Linked DNA regions of Lonchura striata. The protein of the gene in region 2 interacts with the protein of the main gene of each other region in a pairwise test. Links are inferred from orthologs where the notes say so. Each region holds a gene or a part of one and is shown on either strand. Other genes may lie near its edges. The genes, in order: AMFR, UBE2N, MID1 and LRSAM1.

Region 1 (7,590 bases), on a different chromosome or scaffold from region 2:
GGGATTAAGAAATTTATGAAACAAAATGTTTTGTTAAAGTATATGATGAAATCACCAGGAGTTTAGTTAAAACAGGCCCTGAGTTCCTTAAAGATGCTGCTGTTTCGGGCTCGCCAGTATTAATAAGCAGCTTTCCTTTACATGACAACTGAGGCAAACTCCCACTGTCTAAACACAAATGGACCCACACTGCTACTGCTTCTCACTTCAGTTTTTAAGAGGGTAAAGAACATCCTGGAAACCATCACCAGTTAAAATTCCACATCCTTACAGTCAACATGGACTGCAGAAAAAGTCGGGCCCATTGCAGTTTGATAGTGTCTTGGTTTTAATACACCACTCAGAGCCTCTACAAGGTATGAATTACAAATGCAATAGGCTTTGAGGGATTCACAGTTATTAATGAGGCTTTGTGTGCCTCAGTTCTGCATGCCAAAAATCATCATGGACTGATTCCTCCTATGGAACTCTTTTTACAGACTTTTTTTTTAATATGTGAACACACTCCAAACCACTGCTCCTGCATTTACATGAGCAACTTATGCATTTGCCTTGCTTTAAAAATATATATATAGAGATACTATTCAAGGTCTTGCTGCTGCTTTCATCTTCTGCAGGATCCTGTTTTTAAAAACTCTGCTTTCACAGTTCCTTTGCTGAATTTTTACAAACATTCTCACATAGACAAGAGCAGGACTAAACATCCTCTGTTTTCTGTCCTGCTCACCTCCTTTCTCTGGGGATTTTCTTGCCTACTGCCTCTTAAACCTGCAGGCTGATAAACCATCTACTCAGTGTATGAGGCTGGAAAGCACTTCTCCAGCAGTTATGGTACAAAAGAGGGAACTCAAAACTGCCAGTGCTGACAGCTACAAAATGCAACGGAGAAGTGCTGCCAGGTACAGGCAGAATAGAGAAGAACACATTACAAGTGTTTTGAAGTGAGGTGTGCTTGTAAGAAATCTAACAGAGCTCATTAAAGACACAGGATTTTTCAAGCTGACTGGGGGCTTATAAAATACAACAGGAAAAATTCCCTTCAAAATAAACCGGAAGCATGTGGCTGTGGATATGCTAGCTAACCAAATGGTAAGACATCCATTGTAAAATTTATTTTTCTTGTGCAGTTTCAGCAATTCCATATAGAAAATCACACCATGTGACTTTGTTATGTTTCAGTTTCCTTGTTTGCTGTCTCACCTGCCTCTCACTGACACGAAGAGGACCAAACACCATATACTGGATTAGCTTAGCAACCAGCATCAGAAAACAGCAGGCAGTGTTCACTAATACCTGGAAAGAAATAAAGCAGTCAGTGACAAATACTTTTGCCCTATTTAGAAGAAGTGAGAGAAGGGGAATGAACAAGTCTAACAAAACCTGTCATTGTTCACAGAACAGTATTAGTTGCCTTTTCTTTTGATGAAATTTAAGCCTGGCCTCTTCCAAGACACATGAAGTAGCTGATAAGTCTTAGCTTTTTTTTTCTAGAAATACTAACACATTCAGTTTGATACAGCAGTAAAGCCAACAAACTGCTCTACCACTTCACAACAAATTATTTCATACAGATTAGAAAATTTCATAAAAGAACATGGGGACAAAGCTTAGAGATCACCAAGATGCTCCTTTTGTTTAACATAAGGCAGATGAGAAAAATCCAGTTTGAATCTGTTGTTACAGTAAGAGGATTCAGAGGTTGCCTCAAAATATGCTGAATAGCACATATCCCTTCCGTAATAACACGGCTTGAGGCTTTCTTAGGAAACTTCTTTACAGCAAAGTAGCAAGAAGCAGAGCACATGGGCCTGGGAAAACTGCTATCTCATATTTGACAAAAGGATTTGTAATTAACTTTTGACCTAAGCAGGACACTAAAAAGGCTAGAAGGTAGATGATGAAGAAGCTTCACCCTGTCATTTCCAAAGGACATCACTTGTCCAGGATTCTTAAGGCTGCAAGACGAATTTTCAACAGGATGAATATATATGGCATATTAAAAACCAGCACCTCGGTCAAGTAAGTATGCTGTGAAGTGGATGTCCAACTACTGCCACCTTTGAGTGACAGACAGATGAAAAGTTCAACAGCAACAACTCAGCAAGGTATCCAATATCGCCTTGTTGAGCCTTTATTTCAACTGCAAATCAGTGAGCCAAAAATCATGAGCCATTATGAGGTCTGGGTTTTAAAAAGTACAGAAAATTATTTTCTCTTTTTTCTTTTCCTTAAACGGTGAGAATGTTTCCTCTTACCTACCAAACGTTCAGTGCTATTTAAAAGGAAATAAACAAAGGCAGCAAGGCTCGAGTACCTGACAGCCCCTTACTCTGATTTCTGGCAGAGCAGGTCGGGCAGCGCTTGGCGAAGCTGAGCGCTTGGGACCGCGGCAAACGCTCCCGACAGCTTCTCCCAGCCCCCCGGGCAGGACGAGCGGAGGCGCTCGGGGAGAGCAGCACAAGCCGCGGGCTGAACTCGGCTCTAACGCTGCCCACCGCAGCCAGGCAGGAAGGGAAGCGGCTGCGGAGGCGGCCCGGGGAAAGCCAGCCGAGCCCCCTTCTCTATTCCGCGAGCAGTTTTCAAACAACAATAACGAAACTCCCCCCGGGCCCGCCCACCTGCCCCCGGCCGCGGGGAGGTGCCCAGAGGCCGCCGCCAGCCCCGCAGGCCCGCAGGCCCCGCCGCCGCCCCGGGCTCACCCAGACGCAGAGGCTGTCGGAGAGCAGGTAGTAGGCGACGTCCAGGGCCCGCGGCCCGGCGCAGCGCTGCGGCTCGGCCAGCTCGGTGCCCGCCGCCCCGCCGGGCGCCTGGCTGAGGGCGCGGTAGGCGCTGAGGCCGGCGGCCAGCAGCGCCAGGGCGCTGAGCGCCGTGTAGGTGCGGAGGCTGGGCCAGGGGAAGCGCTCCAGGAACAGCAGCGGCATCGCGGAGCCCTCGCGAACGCCCGGCCCCGGCTCGGCGCGCTCCCCCGGCTTAACGCCCGCCCCGCCGCCCCTCCCCGGGGCCGGGCGAGACGCCCCCACTGGATAAAGGAAACAGACCGGGCCCGAGCCCTCCGCCCCGGCTCCGGGCGCCGCGTCCGCCCGTCACCCCGCGCGCTGAGTCACGGCCGGGGCGGCGCTTCCACCGGCCCGGCCCTGCCCCGCGCCGCCCGCGCCCGGGACAGCGGCCGCACCGCCGGAGCCGCGCCGGGGGGAAGCAGAGGGGCCTTCGGGAGCCCCCAAACCTACAGGCAGGGTGGCAGAGAGAGCGTAGAGACTGCAGGAGCAGCGCCCTTCCACTGACAGCCTGGAACAAGAATTAGTCTCGCAAACTACCGTGTGGTAAGGTGAAAGGTGCTCTTAAGTGCCAAGGCTCAAAAGCTGCACTCTGCTCCTTGTTCTTGCAGCATCTGACTTCCAAACTTCCACCTGCCTTTTCTTACTTCCACAGGCAAAAAGATTCTGTTTTCCACTCTCCTGCTACCTGTATTTCCCCTAGCTGGTAGCTGAGAAACCATATATTCTACTCACCATCTGTCTGGGCCTTCCTTCCATAGGACCAAAGTGAACAGCCCTTGCACTCTCCCAGCATTTTGCAGTACATTTGCCATACTGCACAGCTTCAATTTGACCACCAAGCTGTCAGGATTGTTCTGTACGTTGCTTACCAGTGCAGATGGCAGCAGAAGCAAGCACTTTGGCAAGATTTGGTTCTCTTGGCAGCAGGTGCTCTCCAACCCTGCCTTCATAAAAGAGGACAGTGCACAAGCAACAGTGCATCTTCTGATCACAGGCAGAACTTGGAAACAAATCTTTCAAAGACTCATTCATTAAGCAAAATTATGGAAGACTAAAAGCACTGTGAAGTGTCACATCCAAATGGACTTTATGTTTAGCCAAGCATGTAAAATCCCCAGAAGTAGAAAGATTGATATTTACTGCCTACAAGAAACTGAAATGTTGAGAAAAAGCAAAAGTGGGTATCTTTTGCAGGATGAGACGGCACAGGACAGCATAACATGGAACCACTTGCATGTGGCATTGGTTAAGTGTTTCAGCATGACCCTAATTCTGTCCCATAGCTAAGAAAAAATATACAAAATTAACCTCACTTTCCCAATTTTAACTGCAGCTCAGACCAGTCCAACAGAATTTTTGGGGTTGTTACTGTCTCAAGGGGGCACTGAAGGAACAGATGCATGCTGCATCTCCTCCAAGCCCTGTTACAAACCGATCGGTTCTGGTAAAAAAGGTAAAGGCTACGCTTGCCTTTAAGTACTCATTCTCCCTCAAAAAAGCAGTTCTGGTCTCCAAGTTAGACTTAAAACAATATTGAATCCACTTAAGCTATTTCATTTCTCCCTGATCCTAGGGATATTCCCTTCTCACGGATAAAGATCCCAGCATCTGAATGGGCCCTGAATGGCTTAGCTCCTCCTCATTCCAAGATCATCTGTATTCCTGAAGAAAATAATAAAGCTTAAAATATGCATCTAAGAGACAATAAGGAAAAATAAAAGAACTAATAAACAGAAGGAAAAACAAACCAAACAAACAAACAAAAAACCTAAAAAAAAACACAACAAAAAGCAAACCAAACCCAAGACAAACTGAATCTTAACCATATTGTTTAATGTTGTACAAAACAAAAAATTGGTGAGTATTACAATGATAAGGGATTATAACACTGGTAGCCCATTGCCATCTCTCTAGCTAAACAGTTGAAATTCACTTCTCTGTTCATACCCTAGAATGTTTAGTGGTCTTCAGGAACAGAAAGACTTCAAAAAATCCTTGTGTCACACATATTCGTTTCTCTACAGTTCAAAGCTGTGCTCACAGAGACGGCTTCTTCTACTGGAGTCTTCAGGTATATAGGAACTCAGTTGTAAATAAAGTTGAACCTAAAATTAAAAGGATTATACCAAGTGAGGAATTTTGATTCTTTTTTTTAAGGGCATTTTTGAATGAATAAGCAAATGTTTTGTTTTTGCTCTGGATAAGCCTCCACCTGACAGGACAAAAGTACATTTTTTCATAAGACAGCTTTACAGTATAGCAGTATATATATCATTTTTAACAGCCAATCCTACACTAGCATTGCACAACTGTCTCTTATGGTTTGAGAAGAACTAACTATTAACATTTCATGTCCTAAAACAAGGTCACAGATACATAAATCACAGTGAGAGTTACATTCCTCCATCAGCAACTCTTTTGCAGCACTTCTGCTACTAGACCAACCTTACATGTTCCAAGGGGAACACACAAACATACTGAAGAGAGAATTTTTCCCAGCTAAGTTTCATAAATAACTGTGGAAGCAAGCAATCCATCTCAGCTTCCAGGTGCCCAGCCTTTGCATGTGTCTGTTGCACCACTACCCAACCTGCATGACAGTTTGGCTGGTACTCAAGAGGAAATACCTGCTGTCTTTAGAGGAGGGGAAGCCAAAATTTGGGCTAGAGAGAAAAATACTCAGCAGGAAATAAGATTATGTGCAAGACCAGTGCTAACATACTTTTTTCATCATAGTAGGTAGGTGACAGAACTACTTCCCTGAGGAAGAGCTGGCAGGCTGTGGGACTCCTAGTATGCCTGAACATGCTCTCAAGTAAGAGACCAGTGAGCTCTGGAGAGACAAGCCACAGCCATTCCCAGGTAATAAAGTCAAAGCATGGTATACATTCCAAGAGAAAGGAAAAAATACAGCTGTCCCTACAGATATTTGTGTCATAAAGATGCTACACTTCATTAGCTCTACTAAAGAGTGTAAAAAAACCCACCACATTTAACCAGCACAAAGCTGTGATAATATGCATACCTAACTCAGTGCTTCAAATTTACATCCTGGCTTTAACTCTCCAGCTGTCTCCAACAACTACAAGAAGCTGCTCCTCAGTCTGTGCACAGCCTCATCCTCACATCTTCCATGTGTTCCTTAACTACAGCTGCTAGGTAGGACTTTGGTGCTAGCCAGTTGTGATCAGTGCCTCAAAAGTGTCCATGCAGTTCATCTGAAGCAGAATCTTTGGGATAGATGCCACCTTTTCAAGTTGGTTTCTGTAGCACCTTGCTTTGCTCTGGTGTCCCACAGGAAACCATGTTCCCAGAGCCACTATACAAATACAACATACCTGCTCAAAAGTTGAGGAAGGCTGGAAATAATAGGTCCATATCCTGGTGCGTTGTCATAGAGCTCAAACAGTGGTGCAGCAACCAGCTTGTAATTTTTGGGGACTGCAAACAAAGCTAAAAACAAATACAAGTTGATGAATCAAAAAAACCAGCACACATTCAGCCAAGGGATCATCATTCCCCACAGACCTCAAAACAAGTTCACTACATAGAGCACTCAACCAGGTTTATTGCTTTTTTAGTTAAATATGGGATTCACATCCTGTACACAGACTGATGCAAGCAGGAATAAAAATTTACTAGGAAGTCATGTTCAAAGGATCATCTACCTTCAAAACAAATACCAGCATTTAACTTTGTTAGTGATCAACCACAAACAACTGCAAGCATACACATCTTGGTATAACATACCACAACATACACAATCACAACTTTGTGTTCCTTGAGTGAAATGCAGGCATTTAAATATTGTTACAAATACAACCCTTTGATCCAAACAAACACTTACCCTTTTCTTGAAGCTGGACCAAAAATAGCTTTTTGTGTTCTTTTGGCTTTGTAATATGAGCTGGGATATATGGATACTAGAAGAAAAATGGTAAAAAACAGTTGTACAGAGCTTTGAAAATACTATGTAATCTTAAATGCTACTTTATAAATTATCAAGCCCTGTACAAGTTTTCAGTGTGTCATATATTATTCTTTCATGGCATCAAATAAAACCATTTTCATAAGAAAGTACTTAGGAAAGGAATGCTGTTGCTGTCACAACTATTGACAGGCTCTAAAGTGGCATCAATATCATAAGCAGTTAAAACAACCCAATAAAACAGAAATGCATAAAAGCAAACTAAGCAAACTAAACAAAGATTTTCAATATTAAAGCCCTTAGAAATAGGGTAGTGAGACTAGGGCATGTTCCACAAGCAGCAGTACAAGAATCTCCATTGTGGCTACAAAAGGAATATAAATGGTGCATATGTCTCAATGTAGAACTGGAAGCTACTACATCTAGTGGTTTCTCATCCATCAGGACAGGTGTGAGAAGGAAGACAGGAATTTCCATTAAAAAAAAAGGCTGTAGTTTCTCTTCAGTCATAGAAAGGAGATGAAATAGACAAAACCCAGAAAAACAAATTGCTCATGCAGCAGGTACTCAAGAAGCCCATCTGGAAGGTTGAAGGCTTTTAGAAGTACAGACAGAACTTGACCAAAGAAGATGGAAGCCCACGGGAGTACTCACCTGTGGAGGTTCAAAGTTTGGTCTCCACCAGTTGCCAATGCAGTCATCAATCACCCAGTCTTGCTGAACACCATCCTGACGACCCAGTATCTATCAAAAATCTAGTACTAATCAGACCTCAAACTACCTCAAGGAAATTCTTTTATTAAACACATACTAGAAACAGAAAGACTTACTGCAATATATGTCTGATGTAGTTCATAACTGCTCTGAGACAGCTTTCAATAGAAC
Region 2 (7,851 bases):
CCAGTAACACATTTTATCTTACATTAATAGTTTTTTTGTCATGACAATTCTCATAGGATCCCTGGTGTTGAACTACTGAAGAAAACAAAAATACCTCTTCTCTATTCAAAAGATACAATGTTTTCCAATTCTGATTACGTCTTTTAAGATTCAAAACTACATCAATGTCTTCTACTCACCATTTGTGATATGCTAACAGTCATAATTCTAAAGCAAGTCACCTTTTGAACTTACAGACCATTCCCACACACACTTTATTAAAATCCGTTTCTAAGTAATCTGAGGACAGTAAATTGGGAATAATTCTGTATCTTCTGCAACAACTGCTTTAAAACACCCATACTGTCACCTTTTCATTGAATTTGAAGTATTGGAAACATAAACAGAGTCCTTGCCACTGCAAGGAAAACTCCTGCTCTCCTCCTGGGCTGGATGACAGCCTGCACATAGCAAAGACGCAGGCTGAGGAGTACAGGGCTGCAAGTCAACCTGAGAGCCCGGCCATCTGCCAGCAGTCGCTCAAGACAGGGAATGCCAACTGCATTTTGAGCAGCCAGCCAGGCTCAGGACTTTATCACAGTCCAAATACAATCTCCTAGCCCCAAGAAGCCATTGATGGTCTCTCCTGGATGACAACACAAAGGGTGCATGTGGCAAAAAGGGAGAAGATCTTTTCCTAAAAGTAACCTAAGCCATGTATTTATCGTGAAATTTATTACTGTGCATAGCATGAAGATTTCATTTTATTTACTGGAGTTATTTTAACATTACTCAGCTCTTTCCTATCCTGATCTTTCAAATTCTCATTAGCAACTGAGTTCACTCCCTACCCACCCTCTAAGGCATCCAGAATAGGAAATTAAACACTAAAGTCAAAATTGGCATGATAGAAAAGATCAAAACAATTCTCACTCAAGACTCCCAAAGATTTAAGCAGGAGTATTTCTGGGTCCACACCTCTGCAGCTGTGGTATTTCAAGATATGACTTTGCACATTTTTGAGGCTCTAGTAACTAGTCAGACTCAAGTCCTAGATCATACTCACATGTGGCAACCTAAGGCACGCACAGCACAGCAGCTGAAGAGCTGATCATCTAACACAACCAAGCCAAGATTTAATAACTCTAGACTGGCTGCAGACAACTTTCCAATGCACACATGCAAACACCCAACCCATCATATGTCTAAGGGGGCTCCTTCACAGAAAATCTGGAGTTTCTAAGACTCTCTTTTGCTCTCCACCTTTCTTCTCCAGGAGGAAAACAAACAGTCCCACATCACCACATATCTTTGAAGTGAGTTGTGTAAATTGCGCTAGCGTTTTTTTCTAGAAAAGCATGAAGAAAACAAAAGTACCAGGAACAAAATTTATGCACCAACATAAGTGAGTGCACTTCTTGGTTGTATTCTGGGGATCTGTCAAAAGCAATGAAAATTTAATGCAGACACCAGCCTCATGACTGAGCTCTTACTGCAACTCTGTGATAAATACCAGTTCCACTGTATTATGAATCACTGTTCCCTATCACACCTGAAATACTTCAGATTAGCATGGTGTGCACTCAGACAGCTGGATAGGCATCAAAATCAGTAAGATTTGTCTTCTTTATTTTTACTACTTACTTACAATTCTGAGCACTAATTGTAGTTTAGCTCCATTTCACAGAAGACAAACACTACTGCCTTATTTTACCTCATCATCTCTATCACCTACTTGATAACTTGACTTCTTGGACAAAAATAATGTATTTTTTTGTCCACTATTTAAAACTTTATAAATTAATTTATTTACAGTGTTTACCAACTGAGAGAGCTTCAGAGTATTAAAAACTAACATCCATTCACTGTAACAGGCTATGAGGATGCTGTCATTTCCTGTGAGGGCTAACCAACCTTAATGGAATCACTTAATAACTTTTATAAAGAGAATGATCATCCATTCAGGGGCTTCAATTCACACCATTACAAATCGAGTAGGAGACAGCAGCACAGCAGGAGCAACCACGTGAGCTACAGGACCGAGCTGTTTGATAGCTTGCAATACAGCTACCAATAAGTGTCTCCAAATTACTCAAATCTTATGCTGGAACCGAATTCGGAGGATCTGCTGAAAATACCCCAAAGTTAAGAGCCCTTGCAAAGCTTGGCAAATCACAGTCGAAACATGATACCGAAGCACCAGCACGACACGTTGATAGAGTAAGGGCCGACAGCTCCGAGCAAACGTAGCAGTAACCGGGCTGTCCCAGCGTGGACCACTGGTGCCAATGTCCCGACGCACACACAGCTGTGGCCAGGTTTAACTGCTCGCTGTGGCTCGTCCCTCACCGCACACTAGGAAGCCGAGCACGGCGCCACCGCCGCCCTCCCCCGGGCCAAGCACGCCTAGAGCTGTGCCGGGAAGCCGGGGCCTGGCGGAAGCCCCCAGTGAGGAGCCGCTGGGTCGGCGGAAGACAGCGGGGGATGTGCCCGGTGTCCTTCGAGCTCCGGACCCCGAAGGCTGTGCAGACAGCAGCGCTCGGCAGCAGCGGGGGCCGTGGGGCGCCGCCGCCGCCCGAGCAATCCCCGCGAAGGGCGCGGGCCCGCGCCCGCCGGGAGGGCCCGGCCGCTCCCGCCGCCCGCGCGCGCCGACACGGCGCGAGGGGAGTCCCGCGGCGGCGGCGGGAAGCGGCGGGGGCGCGGGCGGGACGGCAGCGAGGAGCCCCTCGCCCGGCAGGGGCGGGAGGAGGCCGGGGAGGCGGCCCTGCCCTAGCGCGGCCCAGCTCCCGGGCACCGGAAGCGGCGCCCGGCGCGGCGCTGCGCTCGGCCGCGGACCCCGGCCCGGCGCGGTCGGCGCGCCCGGCCGGCATGGCGGAGCGGCGCGCGGCGGGCAGGGCGCGCGGCCGTACCTTGATGATCCTGCGGGGCAGCCCGGCCATCTTGTCTCGTCGGTGCAGGCTCGGGGCGCGCCTCCGCTCGGGGCGCGCGCACGGCCGGAAAGACCCGCGCCGCGCTTCCTGCGGCACCGCCCTGCGCGCGTGGCGCCGGGAAACGTAGGATACAGGGATGGGCGTGTGGGGTCCGCGCCCGGCATGGGCGCTGAGGAGCTGCCGTCAGCGGGGCCGTGCGCTGTCAGCGCCAAGCGTCTGTTCGTCCCTGACTTTTAGCTTCTGTGAGTGTTCCTAAACCTGTCTCAAAGCTACCTTAGAACATCAGTGCCTAAAACACAAGGAACTACTGGCAGAGTCTAGCAAAGGGCCACAAAGGTGATGAGAGGTTTGGCACATCTCTCTTAACGAGGAGAGTCTGAGGGAGCTGGGCCTGTTTAGTCTAGAGAAGAAAAGACTGAGAAGGAATCTCATCAATACATAAAAATATTTCAGCGGTGGGTATCAAGAGAATAGTGCCAGACTTTTCAGTGGTGCCCAGCAGCAGGACAAAGAGCAATGGCCATAAACTAAAACACAAGAAGTTCTATCTCAACATGAGGAAGAACTTTATGTTGAGGGTGACAAAGCACTGGAAGATGCTGTCCGGAGGGGTTGTGGAATCTCCCTCTCTGGAGATACTCAAAACCCACCTGGACATGTTGCTGTATCACTTGCTCCTGGTGACCCTGCCTGGGCAGGGAAGGTGGAAATAGGATCTTCCCTAACAGTTCTGTGATCTTTGTCTTAATAACACCTAGTTAGCAAACCTTTGTTCTTTTTCAGCAGAAAGAGGAATATTGTAAACATTGCAGTATAATTATTGCACGAGCATACTAGGACATTACTACGGATGTATAGTAATAGTAACATCTAAGAATGTATGTCATTATTTATGGGAAGTAAAAGCACAGAAAGATGAACTAATTTCCCATAGGTTGCTCAGCAGGTCAGCAGCACAGCAAAGAATAGAACCCTATGTACATATGAGTCCCTATCAAGTGTTTTCTTCCGGTTTAAAACAGGACATAATTTCTGTGTACTCTGGTAGAAAGTAAAGTTCTCTGGCAATTGCAAATCTAGGCGAAAGACTCCATGACTCCAACACTTATTTAGATTTCAAAGCATCTTCATTGGTCCATACCCTCAAGACAAAAGTTATTGGAAAATGATGTATTTTGTTACAGTGCATACTGAATTACTTCTCTTTCTTTGTTTCTGCCTTCACCCCTTTTTTTTTTTTTCTCTTTTACACTTCTCCCAGAATATTCCATTAAAGGACTGGCATACATGGAAGAAAGCATGGGCCAAAAGTTTCTTGAAAGTCTGTAAGACACAACAACTGAGTGGAACACAGTTGGCTCAAATAAATGCTCATTGGTGTTGAATTCAGTGTCTCCTTTCAAGTGTTGTAGACCAGGAATCTTGCTTCAGCTGGAAGTTACAGCTGAAGCAAGAAGTTAAGTCAGCTGAAGTTGCAGTTAAGTCAATCTGGCTTATTATGTTTTGACAGCTTTTGTTGCACAAGTGGTTTGTCACATCCTGGAAGTTTTCATTATACATCTCCTTCTGGCTTCTTTTATGAAAGGGCTTTTGAAGTCCACTTGATCAGGAGATGGCAGTGAACAAATACATTGATTTCTGTTGTCATATCTACAAAAATTTAGATTGTTCCCCTAAGCTATTTTAGCTCCTAGAAGGACTGCTGCAGAGATCCGAGTATCCATATTGGGCTAGAAAAGCCACCCAAACTGGCTACTCCAGAATACCAACTGTAGACTGGGGACCTGTAGTCCCCATTCAAATGGGCATTCATTCCTACAGCCCAACTCCACCAAGGCCTGCCTCCACAGTGCGGGTTATTGACTGTATAGTTTCATGTCAAGGGCACACCACTTTTTAGTTGCTTTGCTGCTGCCCTCCTCCTCTGCCACACACTGCTGTTCCCTGAGCTCACACCATGATCTCTCACCTAAGACAAGCTGATCAAAAGCACAAGTGGTTCCTGGGTGAGCAGTGAGCTGCTGTGAACCACAGGCAGCCACACAGCTCTACAGGTGAAGCATAAACAAGATTGGAACCCATGCCTGAGGGTGTGAGAAAAGGACTTTCAATAGTCCCCTGCACTAGGGATAGTGTGGAAGCACATACTTGAGGTTAAGGTAGACCAAGCAGCTGAGTCAACCTCTTAAAAACAGGACTTCTTTCTTCCCTTTCCTACCTCACTCCTTCTACCTTCCTTCCTTACACATAGCATTTTCCCCACTGTTCATTCTGTTGAGCTGATGCAATACTAACTTGGCAGAAAAACAGCCATTCAGTGTAGTCTTTTGCTGGACTGGTGAATTGGTTTGTCTTACACTGGGGTTTGGCAAGCCCCAGACAACAAAAGGTAATAGAAGTGGGAGTGAAGTTGTATGCTGTAGTATCCATGAGTAATTAATTTAGCTTTAGATGCCCCTCAGCTTTTAGGAGAAGCTGCAGGAAGCACTGAGGTCCAGCTCCCTTTCCCTGCTCTACATTCCTGATCCAGTCTTGTCATTGCTATGTATCTACTGGAGTATAGGGGGTTGTTGTTGGGTTTTTGGGTTTTTTTTTTTGCTAAGTTACCCTTCTGACCAGCTCACTGAGGCATCAGAGCTGGCACAAGAGAAGCAGCTGGAAACCGAGTGAGAAGGTGCAGGTGTAGGACCATCCCCTCCCGCAGCAGTGACCTGTTCTGTTGGCTGAGCTGATCTTATCCCACTGCACCACTACAAAAGCCAGGATGGACAACACAATCCTCCTCCCACAAATCTGTGATTATCACATCATTGCCGGAATTACAGTGGTTCCAAGAACAAAGTTAGGCAACCACCTTATTCACCAACAAAGTGTTCTATAATGCTACTATAGGCAGGGAAGGTAAAGAAGTAATTGCAATTAGGCAATTAATTAATACACCCAGAACAATTCAATACAGCTGCTGACCATCTTCCTGTCACAGCTTCTGCTGTCATCAAATTACCAGACTTACTCACTGAGTGGGTGCATCCAGGCCAGCTGAGCCTGTGGCTGACTAATCTTATTTCCTCCTCCTAGCCCTCTTTGCAATCTTATAGAAGTTTTACTGTAATTACAACTCTCTTTCAAATGCCAGATTCTTTATTTTTGCATAAAAGCATTTCTATATTTTTGCCAAATATTGTAGAAAATCTGTTCTACAGCAAAAATCAGATGTATGTATGTACACATACGGAATGAATATTCACAGTAATATCAAAATTTTATATTAAAAATGTTCAGTAAATCCCAGAGTAATTCCACAAGAGTTGCTATGATGCCTATGTACAAAGGAGGAAACTAAGCCACAGAAGTGCAGTGTTTTTCATTCAGCAGTAATTTAAAGTGTCATTGGACAATTTCAGAATTATCTAAACTGGTAGGACTGGGTGAAACTGTACTGAGAGAAGAAAAAAACACCACTAGTTATATGTTTTACCAACTTAGAACATCAAAATGGGATCCTGTGGGAACCCCAGCCTTGTTTTGGGGCCACATGTGGTGGTGAAATTCCTCCTCCAACCCGTGCTTCCAAAGAAAAACTCCGCAGGCTTAGCTGTTCGGTCTCAAGGCAGTTTATTGCTAGTTATCTAACAGATTATGTTCTTGGACTGCAGCTATTTGATCAGTGGCCTGGGTAGAGGCACACACACACCCTGACATCCTCTCTATCTGCTGTCTTCTTCGTCTCTCCCTCCGCCCAGGGTTGCTGCTATCTTTTATAAGATATATTACGTATAACATGTTTACAATTATTCCCCAATACCTACTACCTACGTTGCCAAGTGTTTTTCTACTCTAAACCAATCTGTGAGTGCCAACATCACCAAGAACATGGAGGTAAGGAAGAAGAAGGAAGAAGGATGGGATCAGCCCACTTTCCTCCATCTTAGAACTTCTGACCCCCATGTACAAAGTGAAAACCCCCCTGTACATGTGCTAAAACCCCCCTGTACAATACTAAAAAAATTTCCCCTCTACTTCGTAACTACTTATACTATACTATCTAACCTTTTGTGATTGCTTGTTCCACCTCCAAAGTTGGTAATTCATTCCATGGCTCAAACTCAAAATCACAGTTGTTTTTCAGCTGTCTGCCAGGGTCTAGAATGCTTCTGACCAAGGCCTGGAACCTCTAAAAATGTCTGAGAGACATTTTGAGTTCCCACAGGATCCTAGTAAGAGCCTTCATTGTAGAGAATAATATTTGATTTTTTTCATTAAGTGGCTGCTTGAATAGAGACAATATTGTTTCCTTGAACTATGGTAATCAACAGGAACACAAAATATTTAGGCTACATATGACTGCTGAGGCACTGTCATTTTGTCATATGTTATTTACAGTTGCAGCTGCCTCCTTATCAGTAACAGGATGGACCAGTGATGAGATGGTGTGAGATATGCTAAAGAATAAAGAGGGCCTACTGACATAAGCCTTGATATTTTCTCTGGGTGTTTATAGACTGACTTAAAACAGAAATCTGTCTGTCTACAACATAACTTGAGAAAACTTGAGAATTAAGACCATAACTAAACTATAGTGTCTCATTAGAAATTTGATTTCTACATTTATAGGAATAACCTCATAGAAATTAAGATACAGCATTTCAGGAGTGGAGACCCATCCATCCCCATTGTTAAGACACAACTTTGCAATGAAACACATCCATCCATTCACAAATTCAGGTCCACTTCTACGTATGATTGTGTAGTACCTTGCCAGTTTAAAAGGAAATAAAAGAAGCCAAATGCTTATTCCTAGGAATATTTTGAAACATTGGTTTCTATGAAAATAATAAATGTGTATTATATTCAGTTTGCCAATGATCTAGCCTGAATTATTTTCCTAAGAAACAATTTCCTAAATATGCTACTGCAGGAAAAAGAGCTACAACAGCCAGGT
Region 3 (7,444 bases), on a different chromosome or scaffold from region 2:
AAAACTCACCAAAAAATCACCAAACTCCAGCACAACACCACTGTGGCAGGTCCACCTCCACAATTTTTTATGTGTTTTGAGAAGCAATATTACTGTTTTGATCTGCACAGACCTTTCAGTTGTAACAAACAGCAGATAGCTAATGACTGCTGAAACATATTTAGATTGCTCTAATTTTATAACTGAATGTTACGTTTGCTTATGCGTTTCCCTCTACCTTTGGAATTTTGTTCTGCTTTAACTTAATAAAAGACATTTATAGCCAAGATTTACTTCTTTATGCATGTGATGTTGGTGGTGATCAAGGCCCTTTTCCAACAATAATGGCCATATAAAAGTCCATGTATCTCTGCTTTTAAAAATTGATGGGATAGAAAATTCTCTCTTTCAGACAGGTAATTTTGGGACTGTTTGGCAAAATAATTTTAGTATAGTTCCTTTACCATGCAGAGCTATAAAATCAGGTGTGAGTTCTGTTAAGTTAGATGCCTGTTTTTTCTCCAAAATACAGTTTGGAAATTTAGAATTCATAAAAACTAGGAAAGAAGTAGCAGCAAATACATCTCTTTCATCTCTGTAAACTAAAGGATGCTGTTGAACAGTTCAGAAACACTTAACCAGAGTAATTTCTCTTTTAGAGAACTGAGGATCTTTAACTGGTATATACAAAGAGGACATCCTGCTTCTGGTTCACTTGCAGTGAAACCAAGGATGTGAAATAAACCTTGTACCCTGGAGATATTGTACCTTTGCCTACAAACAACCAGGAGAAGCCTAACCAGAAATACCAGTTTATTGTCACTTGCTAGGACTGACACTTATCACAAGAATAGGTACAAGTACATGATGAAGACCACCCTAAATTAAATTTTATTTTTAATGTAAGGAGTATCTCATAGTTGTGGTGGTATTTCAAAAGTCATGGCCATATCTAGTGGTGCAACACAAAGAGATTAATTAACTTTCCCTTCCTTCTAAAGCTGTTAATAAGCTAGAGAGAGGGAAAATTTTATTACAACCCCTAAAACACTACTGTCACATTCTCATATTAATACTACATTCTTATGTTAAAGCACTGAATTTTTCTATCCTTGGGTCCCTCTAGCAGATCTCATTAGTGGTTGTTTTTGTGGAGATTTTTGTTTTTAAGCCAAAAGAGAACCATAGTAACTGTGCGTTTCCCAAACCATTTCATTCATGAATGGGAAATGAGTCTCCAAATCTTTACTCACATGAGTAACCACATTGATATCCTTAGGCCTTCCATTATTAGCAGCTAGAACTGAGTATAAATCTGCAGGATTTGGATGGGGCACTTCATTACTTCATAGGAGTGAAATCTGTAGCTGAAATCAATAGCTAAGCATGTGAGGCATATAAAAGATACACATTCTTTCATGGAGGTCTGATTGCAATGCATTTCTCAATTTTGTTTCGGTATCAACAAATAAGCATATCATTGTAAAGAGACATACAGACTATAGGCAGTAATTACAAAGACACATTTTAGATAGACATTCTAGCCTCAATAGAGGAGTTGGGAATAGTCCATCAGAAAGAACAGAATAATAGTGAAAAAGGTCAACACTTCCTGAAAAACTAACATAGTAAGTCACAGACCAAGTTTTTGGTTTTCTGTCAATCAGTAACGTAACTGTTGTCAATCATTCCCTCTTACCTTGTTTGTGATTTTTGAATGGCCACAAAAGAAACTTTTGTTGGCAATTTTGGTCTTTACAATTCATTTGAGTCAGAGGCAGGATTTTCAGAGCCTGCCTGTGGAATAGGCATGGTGTACCCCAAGCTGCGCTCACGTATGTCCGACCAATTCAAGCTAAACTTTCCCACGATAATATGAAAGGAAATAAAAGATTCTGAGCAACACAAGTTACTATTCTAGAAATAACAAAAGGAACAGGATAGCCAGGATCTTCTGGTTTAACTTTTTTTTTTTTTTTCCTTTAAGTTGATAAATATATTAACTTTTCCTTTGGAAGGGTGCAGTTAGACAGGATATGCACCTGTACATCTTGGATCTTCTGAAAGAGTATTTCTAGTCTATGCCTAAGCACATGCTTCCCATTACACTGATATTTTGCTAAAAATTACTGCCAAGAATTAAGGCTTCTTCATTTATTTTTTTAAATTCCTGAATTCCCCTAGAATTTATTCTTTCCTCAAGTATTCTCACCTTCCACAGATACATTTTTGTTTTGTTTTCTTTGGCTATCAATTTATCTTGGCCCTGCTGAAAACATGAAAAGATTTGTGAAGAAAGGCTCTCACATAAAACCCAGTTTTGGAGTTGATTCAGCAAAGTAACAGATCTGATAACATCAAAGCAAGAACATCTGAAACTAAGAATTAGGCAGAACAGATTTTTCAACAAATTGCAGCTTCTAAAAATTTACCCATTTCCAAAGAGCCAAGTCTGTTTATTTGCTTATTTTCCTAACTTTGCCAAAAGAAAGGCTCAAACAACTTTGGAAAAACAACAGCAAAGTTGTTCAGCAGAAAGCAGCCCCAGCACTGTAAACAGTGCCTCTCCCCAAACTGCAGCTGCACAAAGCAGAGACAATGCAGGGACCCTCAGCATCATTAACCAACTTCCCTTCCTCACCAGACACTCGCTTCGATAAAGCAATTACAATAGCACCACGGAACAGTAGAACAAGGAAAAAAAAAAAAAAATAACCTTACCAGCTTCTCCTACAGTACACAGCTGAAAGGAAAACAAAACCCCCAGCTGCCGTATCGCATGCAATTGGTCTCTGAGAATGAACTGACTGAAAGAACTATGAAAGGCTAAAGTCTTTCGGCCCCTCTGTTCAGCCTCTCTTCAGCTCCCACTCTCCGAGCTTCCTCACAAAGCCATTCTCCCAGTCCCTAATCCTCGCACAGGAAAAGGCAGCCGCACCGAACGCCTCCAGCAGGAGCGATGCTCCGGGGGTGGGGGAAGCGGGATGCTGCCGGCGCTCAGCCCCGGCCCCGCCGCATCCCCGGGGAGCGCAGCCACAGCGCGCCAGGCGCTGGGGCGCAGCGCCCCGGGCACGGAAAAGTGCCCCTCTCCAGCCATCGCCCTCCCAGCCACTCTCTTCTCAAATGAGAACACCCCTGGGTGCTCGCCAGAGTCCCCGGCATGCATCTCAGTTAGCCTGCACTGAAATAATTAGGCTTTTTTTCTTATTTTAAAATTAGCCACGTGACTTCCTAATGCTCTTGTTGGGCCTTAGATATTTCTTTTTCACAAAGAACACGCAAATAAATCTTAAATATTTCAAACAGGGTAAAAACCCAACCAAGATGTTGCCCCAGAAAATCAATACCAAAATTATAAAAAAAGAGATCCCAACAGACACAAAATCAATAGCATTATGAGGCACCGAATTAAAAAAAACACTGGTGCCTCCCTGAAATGCTTCTGATAGCTACAATCAAAACAAGCAATTGCATTTTTCACAATAAGAGAAGGATTCTATCTTCATTTCCAGTTTATGTAAAAAGAGACAACATTTTTTTAGTACAAATTATCTTGAAAACATGAGACAGATATTGAGATAACATCCCTGCATAGCCTCTGCTTTTCAAGAATGTATTAAATCTTTGTTAAAGAAACACAGTTGTCATAATAGTTCTTAGCACAAGTTTTACTGCTCCACAAGATGCAAAGTACTCAGAAACAGGCAGCTGCCACAAAGTAAATCAAAGACCTAGAAAAGCAGATGGCATAATTTCACATCTTAAATGTTGGCTGCGAGCCTTCCAGTAATAATTTATAAGGAGACTTCCTCCTGCCTGTTCTTCTGCTTGGCAGCATGCTGTTTGAGCCTTTCAAACAAAATAAATAGACTTCAAGCCACCAGCTTCACACACACTAACACTTACCAATGCTATTTCAACCTGACACAAGCTGACTTTGTTCCTCTGTGACCCTGGAGAGAAAACCAAGGTGACAGTTTGATGGATGCGATCTCTTTTCACAATGTGGGTTGTGACTTCACAGTCCTGTCCCCCCATTATTGCTTAGCTGAAGGAGGAGACAGGAGGAGAATCTTCCACCATACAGAGTCATTTTAACAGTGAACCAAACATGCAATAAATGCCTGGAACACATTTTCCTACCTCAAAAATGTGAATTTAAGGGAATCCGTTTCCACTTTTCTTGGAGTTCGGGTGTTAGGGCAGAAGGAAAAGGCTTCAAGAGGAGGAATTAATCCAAATTGTTTATCTCAAACATATTTTAGTTTAAGAAAATAACAACATCACCAGAGAACAAAGGAAAGAAAGAAGGAAAGAAAGAAGGAAAGAAAGAAGGAAAGAAAGAAGGAAAGAAAGAAGGAAAGAAAGAAGGAAAGAAAGAATTTTGTTTGTTTCATTTATAAACAAAGAACACTTTGACTGTGACTTTTGTGAATTATTTCTTAACTGTGCTAATTCAATTATTGAACCATGAATCTTGAACAATTCTCTACTGGACAAAGGTCTCACTGCAGTAATCTGAGGCAAACAATTGCAATGTGATGTCTTTTATTTATTACCTAAAAGACATAATAAAGCATCAGAGGATTCATATATCTTAAAGTTGGTGTCTGCAAATTCAGTATTTGAAAGCAGATTCTCTGCTAAAATGAATTCAGAAATCCTTTTACAAGATATTTCACATAAAAATCCTCCCAGATTTCACAGAACTCTTCATGAAGAAATTACCTTTCCATTAAAAAGGTTGAAAAAGGAAGATGGTGTATGAACTCTGAAATGCAAGGCTCCACCTCCACATTGATCTCATTAACATCCTAATGCCTGTAGTTGGCCTCTGATTTCCTTAGAGCAGAGGACAGGTTGTTAATATGTTTCAGTATTTCTTTCTGATTATTCATCTGATCTGATGGGTTCATCATGAATACTGGAGGGCATCAGACCTCTGATTTTACAGGTGGATACTGGGGCCAAATGACTTGCCTCAACAAAGTCTCTGTCCAGAATAGTTCACCCTTGGCCAGTGATTTTCATGCTCCAGAAGACAATTTCTGAAACCAGGGCCATGTTTGAGATTAAGCTTGATATGGTATGTATTTGTAACACAAATTATGTTTCTATTATTTCTAGTTTGAGATTTGATATTCACAATCTGTCAAAAAAGATGAGCTCCTGTTCATTCTTCCAAAAAATTGTATGGTCTTTTCAAAAAGATGCACTTTGTTTCAAAAGAACAGTATTTAAGTGTTTCCATATTTACAAATATTTTTATTTGAATAGAATTAGACTATCTGTGAGGTAGAACTCAACTTATGATACTGAAAGATAATCAAACAAAAGACAGAAATTTATTGATATTCCAAAAAAAAGTCAAAATCTGACAGATTTATGCAATGTAATATCAGCAATTATCGAGTTTCATCAATTCAAGTAAAATTTTTAGGGGTTGGTTTGTTGGTTTGTTTTTGTTGTTTGTTTGGGTGTGGGATTTTTTTTTGTTTGTTTTGTGGGTTTGTTTTTTTTTTCCTAAGAACCAGCTTAAAATTACACTCTTGGTTTAGGTGACCCCATTCTGGGACTTAGGGGCTACTAGCATGGTGAAAGTCATGTGGTATGAATTTCAGCCTTTGAAAAGAGGTTTTAAAAGATGTACTTGTGAACCATTTATGTCCCAATTACAGCTTCTAAACTTCCACCATTGTTTCTTTGCTTCTCCCTAACAATCTGAGAGCATTCCCATTGTAAAGAAGGAAGTACCTTAAACATTTTAGAAACAATAAGGCCTCTTCACAGACCAATTGATATAAATACATTAGCTCTAAATAAAAATGTTTGCACCATCCAGGAGGTGGTTAACTGTGCTATGCACAAATGAGATGAGCTCTACCGATCAAAAGGAAGAATGAAGCATGAAAAATGCAGCCACCTTTGTACTTGGAAGCTGGCGTAGAGGAACAAGAAATTCACAATGGGACAAAAGCTACAGGCACCAAAATTTTGGAAGAGCTCATTTTTCTCATTCTTGTAGCTTTCAGAGTCATGATAAATATCTGAAGGCATCTGAGTTTTAGGAAATCACAGCAGGTTTGCACACTCTGCTCCATAAGTTTTTCTCTGCTTGCTCACAACCATGTCCACTTATCTGTATAATCTGTCCAAAGCACTTTTTTTTTGCACAATATTTACTACTTTCCATGTTTCTAGGATTAACAAAAAGCATAAGGCTCTTGGATAAGGCTTTCATTTGGATAACAGCCATACACTTTTAATAGCAATCATAAGAACAGTTCAAAGAATCTTTCCTACAAGCAGAGTGGTGCAGACAACTGCACTGCAAAGATTCTAGCAAAACTAAAGATTCCTAAGCTCTTTGAGACTCACTGGTGACTGCACTCTGATTAGTCCAATCTACTGCAGCTCTTTGATTTTTTTTTTTTACCCTAAACTCACAGTAATTCTTAAAGGCAAGTGTAGAAAATGGAATCATAGAACAAGTTGGAAGGGACCTTAAAGATCATCTGGATCATCTGGAGATGACATAGCTTTATAAACAGAAGAAAATGCACATATTAAAGATACTGACTTTTAAGGATTTGATTGAGGAATATGAGTTCCATAGTCAGTAGATGATCTAAGAGTACACTTTTTAATGAGCTCCTTAACACAGTCAGTAAATTTTAAAAGTTTACTATTCAATATTAATGTTGTTTAATGATTGATGCACATATAACACATATATGTCGAATTTCAGGGCTATTCTTTATCTACTTGGACAGATTTTTCTTCTGAGAAAGCAGTGGGATACCAACTCTGCAAACTGGAAGAGGAATGACTAGGCAAGAAGGAAGGAAGAAGTAGCAATGAGAGAACACAGTAAAAAACCCATAATTGGGTAAAAAGGGAAAGAAATTAAAAACTCTGATGATTAGAGTCACTTGAGCAAGAATGTTACCGAAGTCAAAGTTTCACTTGGTTAAGGCTTATCTAATAGCATATCCCTGGGGTTTGATCTCCATGGGTTCAGCCTAAACTGTCTCTCACTTTTGTACCAGAGTAGATGAAAGCAAGGATTCAGCAGTGCAGCTGGGTTTACATTAGGGGTGTGTGTGAAGCTGAGGATGTCTAGCTTGGAACTTCAAAGTGCATCAGCCAATGCTGGTGCATCAGCCTGCAAACTTCAGTAAATATGTCAGTCTTTCTAAAGTTAAATAGAAGAGCAAAATTAAAACAGCAAAGTAAAAGAACAGCATGGGGCCTGCACAACACTAAATCTTCATTACTCCTTCAGCAATAAGATACAAGGAGCAACAAAGAAGTTCTCTGTAAATTTGGCAAGAAAACACATTCTGAGTGTCTGTTCAGAGGCTTTGGCAGATGTGGCATGCTGGTCAAAGATAAACCAACACTGCAATTTTGGACAGTGGGGTATATCTCTTGTACAGCCAGGAAAAATGCCTCCTCACCTTCC
Region 4 (7,638 bases), on a different chromosome or scaffold from region 2:
GGGCCAGTTGGGCCATGACATCAAGGAGAAAAAGGGGTTTATCTGTGGCTGCACAGGACCAGGGGGCACAAATGGGCAAAGCAGAAAGAGCCTGAGCTGGGGCTGCACCTGGACAGGGACTCCAGAGGGACCTGGCTGGGAGGTGAGACTGGGAGTTAGAGAAGGGCAGGAGGGCAACAGCGAGCCCTGAATGGGCAGTAACATTTAAAACACTTGCAGTGACTTTTTAAAACACTGCTTACAATTCCTAAGCAATTACAAATCAGCACAAAAGAGGCACTGCTTCACCAGTGGAGCAGCAACTGGCACAGCTACACTCAGGGCTCAGGGGTTGCACATAAAATGTTCTCTGCCAGCTTTGTCTGCAAACTGGCCTCAAAGGCTCCTGAGGAGGAGGTACTGACAGGATCCAGCCAGGGATGTTCCCTGAGCAGGGAGAGCTCTTCCAAAAACTCTGTCAAATCTTTACAGAGATAAATCTCAGTGTGAAAGTAACATAATTCAGTATAATTCATCTCTCTTGCTTTCACCGCAGGAACAAGGAGGCAGAGCACCCTGAGTCACTGTCCTGCTGTCACAGCACTCACTGGGACAAGCCATGGGCCACGGCAGGAGGTGGCTACAAACTCATCTCCAGCAGTTCTGTGGCTCTGTCCCTGCCAGCCCAATTTCTGCCTCTTTAACCAGGTCACACTGTTATTGATTATTAATTATTGAAATGCTGCTCTGACCTAGCTCCCAGGGGGGAAGGTGACAGCCAGAACTCAAATTGAACAAGAAGGGAAGCTGACTGTCAGGGAAACACAGGGCAGAATCAAGGGCAAGACATCAGAGGCACAAACAAAAGGAGATTTCAAGATAAGAAAGCAGAAGGCAAAAGTGCCTTAAAATACAGGTGCAATAAAATATCCTTGAATGGATGACCATGTTCAACTCTGCTGAACATTTCTGCATCCCCTTGTCCCACTACACTTTTCCCTATTCCAGCCAGATCTCATTGGTCATGGGGACAGTGGGAAATCATCACTTTTCACCCAAGGAAATGGATAAAGATGTGAAGGTTGAAGGGCAGACAGTGAACAGGAAAATAATTGTTCCAGGCATCACAAGATGAAGGATCAGAGACTTGTTAAATGGATTGAACAGCTTTCAAAAGTGGAAATTTGCTTTAGTGAAGACACATCAAACTCAGCAGCCAGGAATGAAAAAGGCCCTTGGCATGTGACCATTATATGATGTAATTTTAATTTTTATTTATTAAATTACTGAAATAACTGCCTGTAAGTGCCCAGGCCAGCAGCCACCCTGCAGGCAGTGAGCACCCACAGACCCCAAATCCTGATCCCCCTGCTCCCTGCAGGCAGTGAGCACCCACAGACCCCAAATCCTGATCCCCCTGCTCCCTGCAGGCAGTGAGCACCCACAGACTCCAAGTCCTGATCCCCCTGCTCCCTGCAGACACCAGCTCTGCCTGAGGAGTAGCCACACACTCAGGAAGAGCACAGCAATGTTTTCTGGGTGTTTCCCAGTCTGCAGCTGTTGGGGTGATGACAGCAAAAGAAAATCAAACATTTCATTTTACTAACTGTAATTCAAACACAACAACACAGCTCTGGGAGCAGCCTCAGTTTTCAAAACATTCTGGACACCATAAATCCATTTGGGCACTGTAATGAGACAAGGTGAGGGTGTGGAAAGAAGAGATGTTTTATTTAGTCTGGGAAAACACACCCAGGAGCACAGTGAGGCAGCAGTGAGCCAGCGTCTGGGTGGGCTCCTGAAGATGCTGCCTGGCCCTGGGGACAGAGGTGTCACCAGGCAGCCACAGGCTGCCCTGGCTGTCCGACAGGCTGCCACAGCCAGCCCTGCAGGCACTGGAACAGGCCCAGAGCAGGCAGCAGCTGAACGGCAGCTCTGGAATTCGTTGTCCTGCTTCGTCTGCTCTCTGTGCTGGAGCTGCCACAGCCTCAGCCTGCCCTGGCAATGCCTGGAACGAATCTCCGCTTGTCTTCACCAGGGCTCAGCCTCTCAGTCCTTCCTTTCCCTCACCATCACTACTCTTCTCTTCTTCTCTCTGGATCCCCCTCCCAGGGTTACACAACTTCCAAGCTCCTCATCTTCTTTACCCTTCCCTCATCCATTACCGCGCCGTTCCATGCCCGAGTGCCCAGAACCTCGGAAGGATGGAGGGCTGAGTCGACCCTGTCGGGATTTTGGCTCGCAGCCCTCGGGCAGCGGCCCGACACCTGGGGAGAGCAGCGACAGTGAGCGAGGGCAGCGCCCGCTCCGCGCGGACACGGCGCAGCTCCGGGCGCCGCCTGCTCCGGAGCCCTTCCGAGGAGCACCCGCGGTGCCCGGTGCCGGCCCGGCGCAGCCCCAGCGCCCCACAGTGAGTCCCACAGCGGGTCTCACAGCGGATCCCACAGCGGGCTCCACAGCGGGTCCCACAGCGGGTCCTACAGCAAGTGCCACAGCGGGTCCCACAGCGAGTCCCACAGCGGGTCCCACAGCGGGTCCCACAGCGAGTTCCACAGCGGGTCCCACAGCGGGTCCCACAGCGGGTCCCTCAGTGGGTCTCACAGCGGGTCCCACAGCGGGTCCCTCAGTGGGTCTCACAGCGGGTCCCACAGCGGGTCCTACAGCAAGTGCCACAGCGGGCTCCACAGCAAGTGCCACAGCGGGTCCTACAGCAAGTGTCACAGCGGGTCCCACAGCGGGTCTCACAGCGGGTCCCACAGCGGGCCCCACAGCGGGTCCCACAGCGGGTCCCACAGCAAGTGCCACAGCGGGTCCTACAGCAAGTGTCACAGCGGGTCCCACAGCGGCCCCCACAGCGAGTCCCACAGCGAGTCCCACTAGCGGGTCCCACAGCGGGCTCCACAGTGAGTCCCACAGCGGGCCCCCCAGCGGGCCTCACAGCGGGCCCCACAGCGGGTCCCACAGCGAATCCCCCCGCCCAGCCCCGCTCACCGCTCGGCGCCGCCATCGCCGCCTCACCGCCGCCTCACGTGACCAGCGGCACCCGCGAGCGCCCCGCCCCGCCCGCAGCGCCCCCTGGCGGCCGGAGGACCGCGCCGCCCGGAATCCGGGAATTCTCCGGGATGGGAAAAAATCCCCGGGATCACCGAGCCCAGCCCGGGACTGATCCCCGCCTCCGCCCCAGCGCAGAGCGCTGAGCGCCGCGGCCAGCCCTTCCTTGGACACCTTCGGGGGCCGGGACTGCACCGGTGCCCTGGGCAGCCCCTGCCAGTGCCTTGCCACCCTTCCATATGGTCCACATTTTGCTATCTATCTATCATCTATCTATCTATCTATCTATCTATCTATCTATCTATCTATCTATCTATCTATCTATCTATCTATCTATCTATCGATTGATATATAGAAATACAAACGCACATCTACAGAGATGCCGCCACGGCCCGCTCGCCACCTCTCGCGAGATCTCGGCTGGTATTCATATTTCCCTGGCCTCTCGCGAGATCTCGGCGGGTATATCTTAGGCCCGCGCATCCCAGGCTGTCTTTCGGCTGCCTCGAGAAGGCCTGGGTTCCGGCCTCCATCCGCCTCCATCCGCCTCCATCCGCCTCCATCCGCCTCCATAGCCGCCATCCGCCGCCGCGATGCCGCCCAAGTTCGATCCCAACGAGATCAAAGTGGGTAGGTGGCGGGCAGCGGGCCGGGAGGCGGGCGGGGGCCGCGGGGCGCGGCTGACGGCGCTGTCCCCGCAGTTTACCTGCGCTGCACCGGCGGCGAGGTCGGAGCCACGTCCGCGCTGGCCCCCAAGATCGGACCGCTGGGGCTGGTACGTGCTGGGGACGGGGAGAGCTGGGGAGGAGGAGGCCAGGGAGGGTGAAACATGTTGGAAGGCGCTGGGAAGCAGCCGGGGCAGCGCTGGGGCTCTCGGCTTTAACCCGAGCCGTGTGTGACCTGTGTGTCGCCCCTCAGTCCCCCAAGAAGGTGGGCGATGACATCGCCAAGGCCACGGGCGACTGGAAGGGGCTGCGGATCACGGTGAAGCTGACGATCCAGAACAGGCAAGCGCAGGTACCGCACGCCGCAGGGGCCGGCCGGTGCTGCAGGCGTGGAGCCCAGCCGGGCTCCGCCTGCTCCAGCCACCGGCCCGGATCCCGGCAGGGTCCACTCAGCCCTTCATCCTTCCGAGGTGGATAAAATGAGTGCCACACATGGGGCGTGTGGGGGTCTTCCGCGAAGACCTTAAAACGCGGGTGGGGGGATGTGTGTGGAGCCATGGGGCTTTGTCAGGCAGGAGGAGAAAATTCAACTTCCATCCTGTTGCAGATAGGTTTTTTTTTTCCGGAACATTGAACCAGCAAAAAAAAAAGTCCTTAAAGCAGCATAGAAATAAATAATTTAAAATCTTGTCAACTTCTGTAGCCACCTGCCACCGTACCTGTTCTGTTGTCTGTGGCTGGTACATTCCAGTGGTGAGCTGAGAGGAAGCCCCAGGCAGGAAGCAGTCCTCTCCTGCTTGTGGGGAGGCCTGTGCCGAAAACCTGGGAACAGATTCCTGCAGCACAAAAAAACCTGGAGTACGAGGGAACTGATCAAATCCACACTGCTGGCAATTACCTTTGCTGAGATAATGAACAGGTTGATTGAGTGTCTCCATAGTAATGTAGAATGGCGGGGGAAATTAATTTTTTTGTATTTAGATAGAGGTTGTTCCTTCTGCCTCTGCTCTGATTATCAAAGCTCTGAAGGAGCCACCTCGTGACAGGAAGAAGCAGAAGAACAGTAAGTGTTCCCCTGTGTTTGATTCTCAATATTTTGGGTGTAAAAGAAGGGGAATACCAGTACGTTTCTCTGGGATTATTCAGCACAAACTGGTAAATAGGGGACATGAGGCTGTTTTGGGCATCCCTGCAGTGCCAGGGTACCAATAGATGCATATCAGCTGCGCTCTGTGTTTGAGGAGAGTATGGAGTTGGGAGGGATTTAAAAGCCCATCAGTGCCACCCCTGCCATGGCAGGGACACCTCCCACTGTCCCAGGTGCTCCCAGCCCTGTCCAGCCTGGCCTTGGGCACTGCCAGGGATCCAGGGGCAGCCACAGCTGCTCTGGGCAAAGCTGGGGTAGAACAGGCCCCTGCCCCATGACTGTGCTGTAGCACAGGGCCTGGCACAGCCAGGGGAGCTGCAGAAATGCCAGCTTAGAGGAGTTGGGGGTAATTGGGTGCTGCAGTCTGGGGGCAGCAGCACTGACAGCAGCCCTGCTGGAGCTGCAAACCCCCAGCTCTCCATGTGATCCGAGTGCTGGGAATGGTGCTCCCAGGGGAAAGGGGGAGCTGGCAGTGCCCAGGTGCCTCACTGCTGCTGTTCCCTCCCAGTTAAGCACAGCGGCAGCGTCACCTTCGACGAGATCGTGAACATCGCGCGGCAGATGCGGCACCGCTCCCTGGCCCGGGAGCTCTCGGGTGAGTCCAGGGCTGGGCTGCAGGGAATGCTCCACTGCCAGCCAGGGAGGGCTGAACTGAGCTCTGCTGCAGGGAGCAGGCAGCCCCAGCACCTGGGGAGGAGCACAGGGGGTTTGCAGTGTGTTCTTCGGGGAGTTCAGGGTGTGAGGTCTGGTTGAGGGAGTTGATGTTCCTTGCTGAGCCCTGAGGCTCCAGCCTGCAAACCCCTGAAGGAAGAGGGACAGCTGAGAGCAGCTGTCAGAATCCACACTGGTTTGGGTTGTGAGGGACCTTAAAGCTTGTTGAGTTGCACCCCTTGCCATGGGCAGGGACACCTTGCCTGGCCCAGGCTGCTCCAGGTAAGCTCCTCAGATGTTTTCCCATGGAGAGCAGTGACAAGCTGTGTCTGCTGCTTCAGGGACCATCAAGGAGATCCTTGGCACTGCCCAGTCCGTGGGCTGCAGCATTGATGGGAGACACCCCCACGACATCATCGATGATATCAACAGTGGTGCCATCGAGTGCCCAGCTGTAAGTACCCAGCTCTGACTCAAATTGCTGTACAATATCTAATTAATGAAAGACTCCACTAATGAGCTGTGTTTGCTTCTTCCAACAGAGCTAAGACTGCAGAAAAGGAAGTTGCCACATGAAGGCTCCTTCAATTTTTTGTAGCACTTTAAATACTAAAATAAAGACCCAGTTGTCTGCAGATACTTGTTGGTTTGATTTGTCCCTGTCCCATGCTGTGAATTTTGCTTTGGGGAATCTCTCCCTGTCTTCTGGAAATTCAGCACCTTTGCTGGGATGTGTCCATGTCTGTTCCAGAGGGATTTGGGCAGGGATGGAAGTGTGGTTGTTAAATAATGGGGTGAGGAATGAGCAGAAGGTTTAGCTTTGTTTATTGAAAATGAGATCCATTTGTGTCCTTTGCTCCCTGATGAAATTTGGGTCACTGCCCCGGTGACTTGAGGGCCACAGGGCCTTAAGTGGGGCTGTAGTGACATGGGAAAGGCATGATCAAAAAAACCCATTTTTATCAAATCCACGAGCCTTGGCAGATACCCATTGTCCAGGACATGTCACTATCCCTGTCAGTGTGGAGGGGAGCTGCACGTTCCTCACTCCTAAAGTAAAACTGAGCAAAGCCTGACCTGGCTATTCCCAGCCATGGGAATCCCATGAGCCCAGGGATGTGTCTGTCCTTGCCTGGTGTGGCTGTGCCTTGGGCAGCTCTGCCTGGGCTCCAGGCCTGTGCTGGCCCCTCTCTCCCTGTCCCCAGCTCCACATGCAGCTGATGGAGTCAAAACCAGGACAGTTTGTGGCTCTGCACTTCCATCTGTTTCCCCCCAGCTGATTGTAGGGCCTTTCTCTGCGGCAGCCAGGAAAAAAAATACAGGTGAAATTCAGGGATTTGCCATGCTGAGGGAACGACTGCATATCAGGGAAAGGTTCTTCACCCAGAGGTGCTGGCACTGCCCAGGCTGCCCAGGGAATGGGCACGGCCCCGAGGCTGCCGGAGCTCCAGGAGCCTTTGGCCAGCGCTGCCAGGGATGCCCAGGGTGGGATTTTGGGGGGTAGGGACAGGGGCTGGGCGATCCTGGTGGGCCCCTCACAGCTCAGGAATTCTGTGATTCTCTGGTTCCTTTGTTGGAATTAACCATGTTACCAATGTTTCAAGCTGGGAGTTATTTGGATGCTTCTGGAATAGGTCAGGTGTGGCTCCTCCTGCTCTGAAACCTGCCCAATCCCCATCTCTCCAAGGGTTTGTGTGGCACAAATTCTGAAAAAGTACAGGGGGAGAAAACCCTTGTGTGACAAGTGGCCACAGGCTGAGGGGGCTGCAGAGGCAGTGGGATCCCCATCCTCACCCCAGGCCAGCCTGGCTGCGATGCCAGGGGAGGGTTGGGTCCCTTCCAGCTGAGGTTTGCCCGGGATTCCACAACAAAGCTGCACAAACGCCTGTGGTGCCTGAGGCAGGGCAGCCTGGCAGAGGCTGCAGCCCCTTCCAGCAGCAGCTCTGCTTTAAACTCCGTTAAAATCTCTGTGCCCCCGGTGTTGGAAATCCAGTCTGGTGTGAACCCCCAGTCTCAGGAGCTCGTGCTGTCGGGGCTGTCCTGTGTGGGTTTCCCTCCACTTGGCAGTGCTGGAAACAGTTGGAAAAATGATTCCTTTTCCTTACTGGGAGTTCTCCTGGGACAGGACCTGTAACTTTCCTTTCC

The links.
Region 1: the proteins of UBE2N (region 2) and AMFR interact in a two-hybrid assay, tested with the Homo sapiens proteins (2 studies listed by BioGRID and IntAct). The link is inferred for Lonchura striata from reciprocal best matches to the Homo sapiens genes UBE2N and AMFR.
Region 3: the proteins of UBE2N (region 2) and MID1 interact in a two-hybrid assay, tested with the Homo sapiens proteins (2 studies listed by BioGRID and IntAct). The link is inferred for Lonchura striata from reciprocal best matches to the Homo sapiens genes UBE2N and MID1.
Region 4: the proteins of UBE2N (region 2) and LRSAM1 interact in binary tests that used the Homo sapiens proteins (3 or more experiments, as listed by UniProt). The link is inferred for Lonchura striata from reciprocal best matches to the Homo sapiens genes UBE2N and LRSAM1.

Annotation. Positions count from the first base shown.
Region 1 is NC_134615.1:15,556,574-15,564,163, forward strand, and holds the start of AMFR (E3 ubiquitin-protein ligase AMFR), read right to left. Parts: upstream 3,010-7,590; 5' UTR 2,922-3,009; coding exon 2,700-2,921; intron 1,294-2,699; coding exon 1,201-1,293; intron 1-1,200. Other genes in the region: NUDT21 (cleavage and polyadenylation specificity factor subunit 5), read right to left, coding at 4,861-4,882, 6,116-6,230, 6,625-6,700, 7,360-7,449. UniProt on the Homo sapiens protein: E3 ubiquitin-protein ligase that mediates the polyubiquitination of lysine and cysteine residues on target proteins, such as CD3D, CYP3A4, CFTR, INSIG1, SOAT2/ACAT2 and APOB for proteasomal degradation.
Region 2 is NC_134607.1:53,630,279-53,638,129, forward strand, and holds the start of UBE2N (ubiquitin-conjugating enzyme E2 N), read right to left. Parts: upstream 3,016-7,851; 5' UTR 2,919-3,015; coding exon 2,889-2,918; intron 1-2,888. UniProt on the Homo sapiens protein: The UBE2V1-UBE2N and UBE2V2-UBE2N heterodimers catalyze the synthesis of non-canonical 'Lys-63'-linked polyubiquitin chains. This type of polyubiquitination does not lead to protein degradation by the proteasome.
Region 3 is NC_134604.1:97,753,012-97,760,455, forward strand, and holds the start of MID1 (E3 ubiquitin-protein ligase Midline-1), read right to left. Parts: upstream 3,012-7,444; 5' UTR 2,701-3,011; intron 1-2,700. UniProt on the Homo sapiens protein: Has E3 ubiquitin ligase activity towards IGBP1, promoting its monoubiquitination, which results in deprotection of the catalytic subunit of protein phosphatase PP2A, and its subsequent degradation by polyubiquitination.
Region 4 is NC_134624.1:4,617,231-4,624,868, reverse strand, and holds the start of LRSAM1 (E3 ubiquitin-protein ligase LRSAM1), read right to left. Parts: upstream 3,018-7,638; 5' UTR 2,971-3,017; intron 1-2,970. Other genes in the region: RPL12 (large ribosomal subunit protein uL11), read left to right, coding at 3,624-3,660, 3,732-3,805, 3,949-4,047, 4,677-4,758, 5,351-5,437, 5,835-5,947, 6,036-6,041.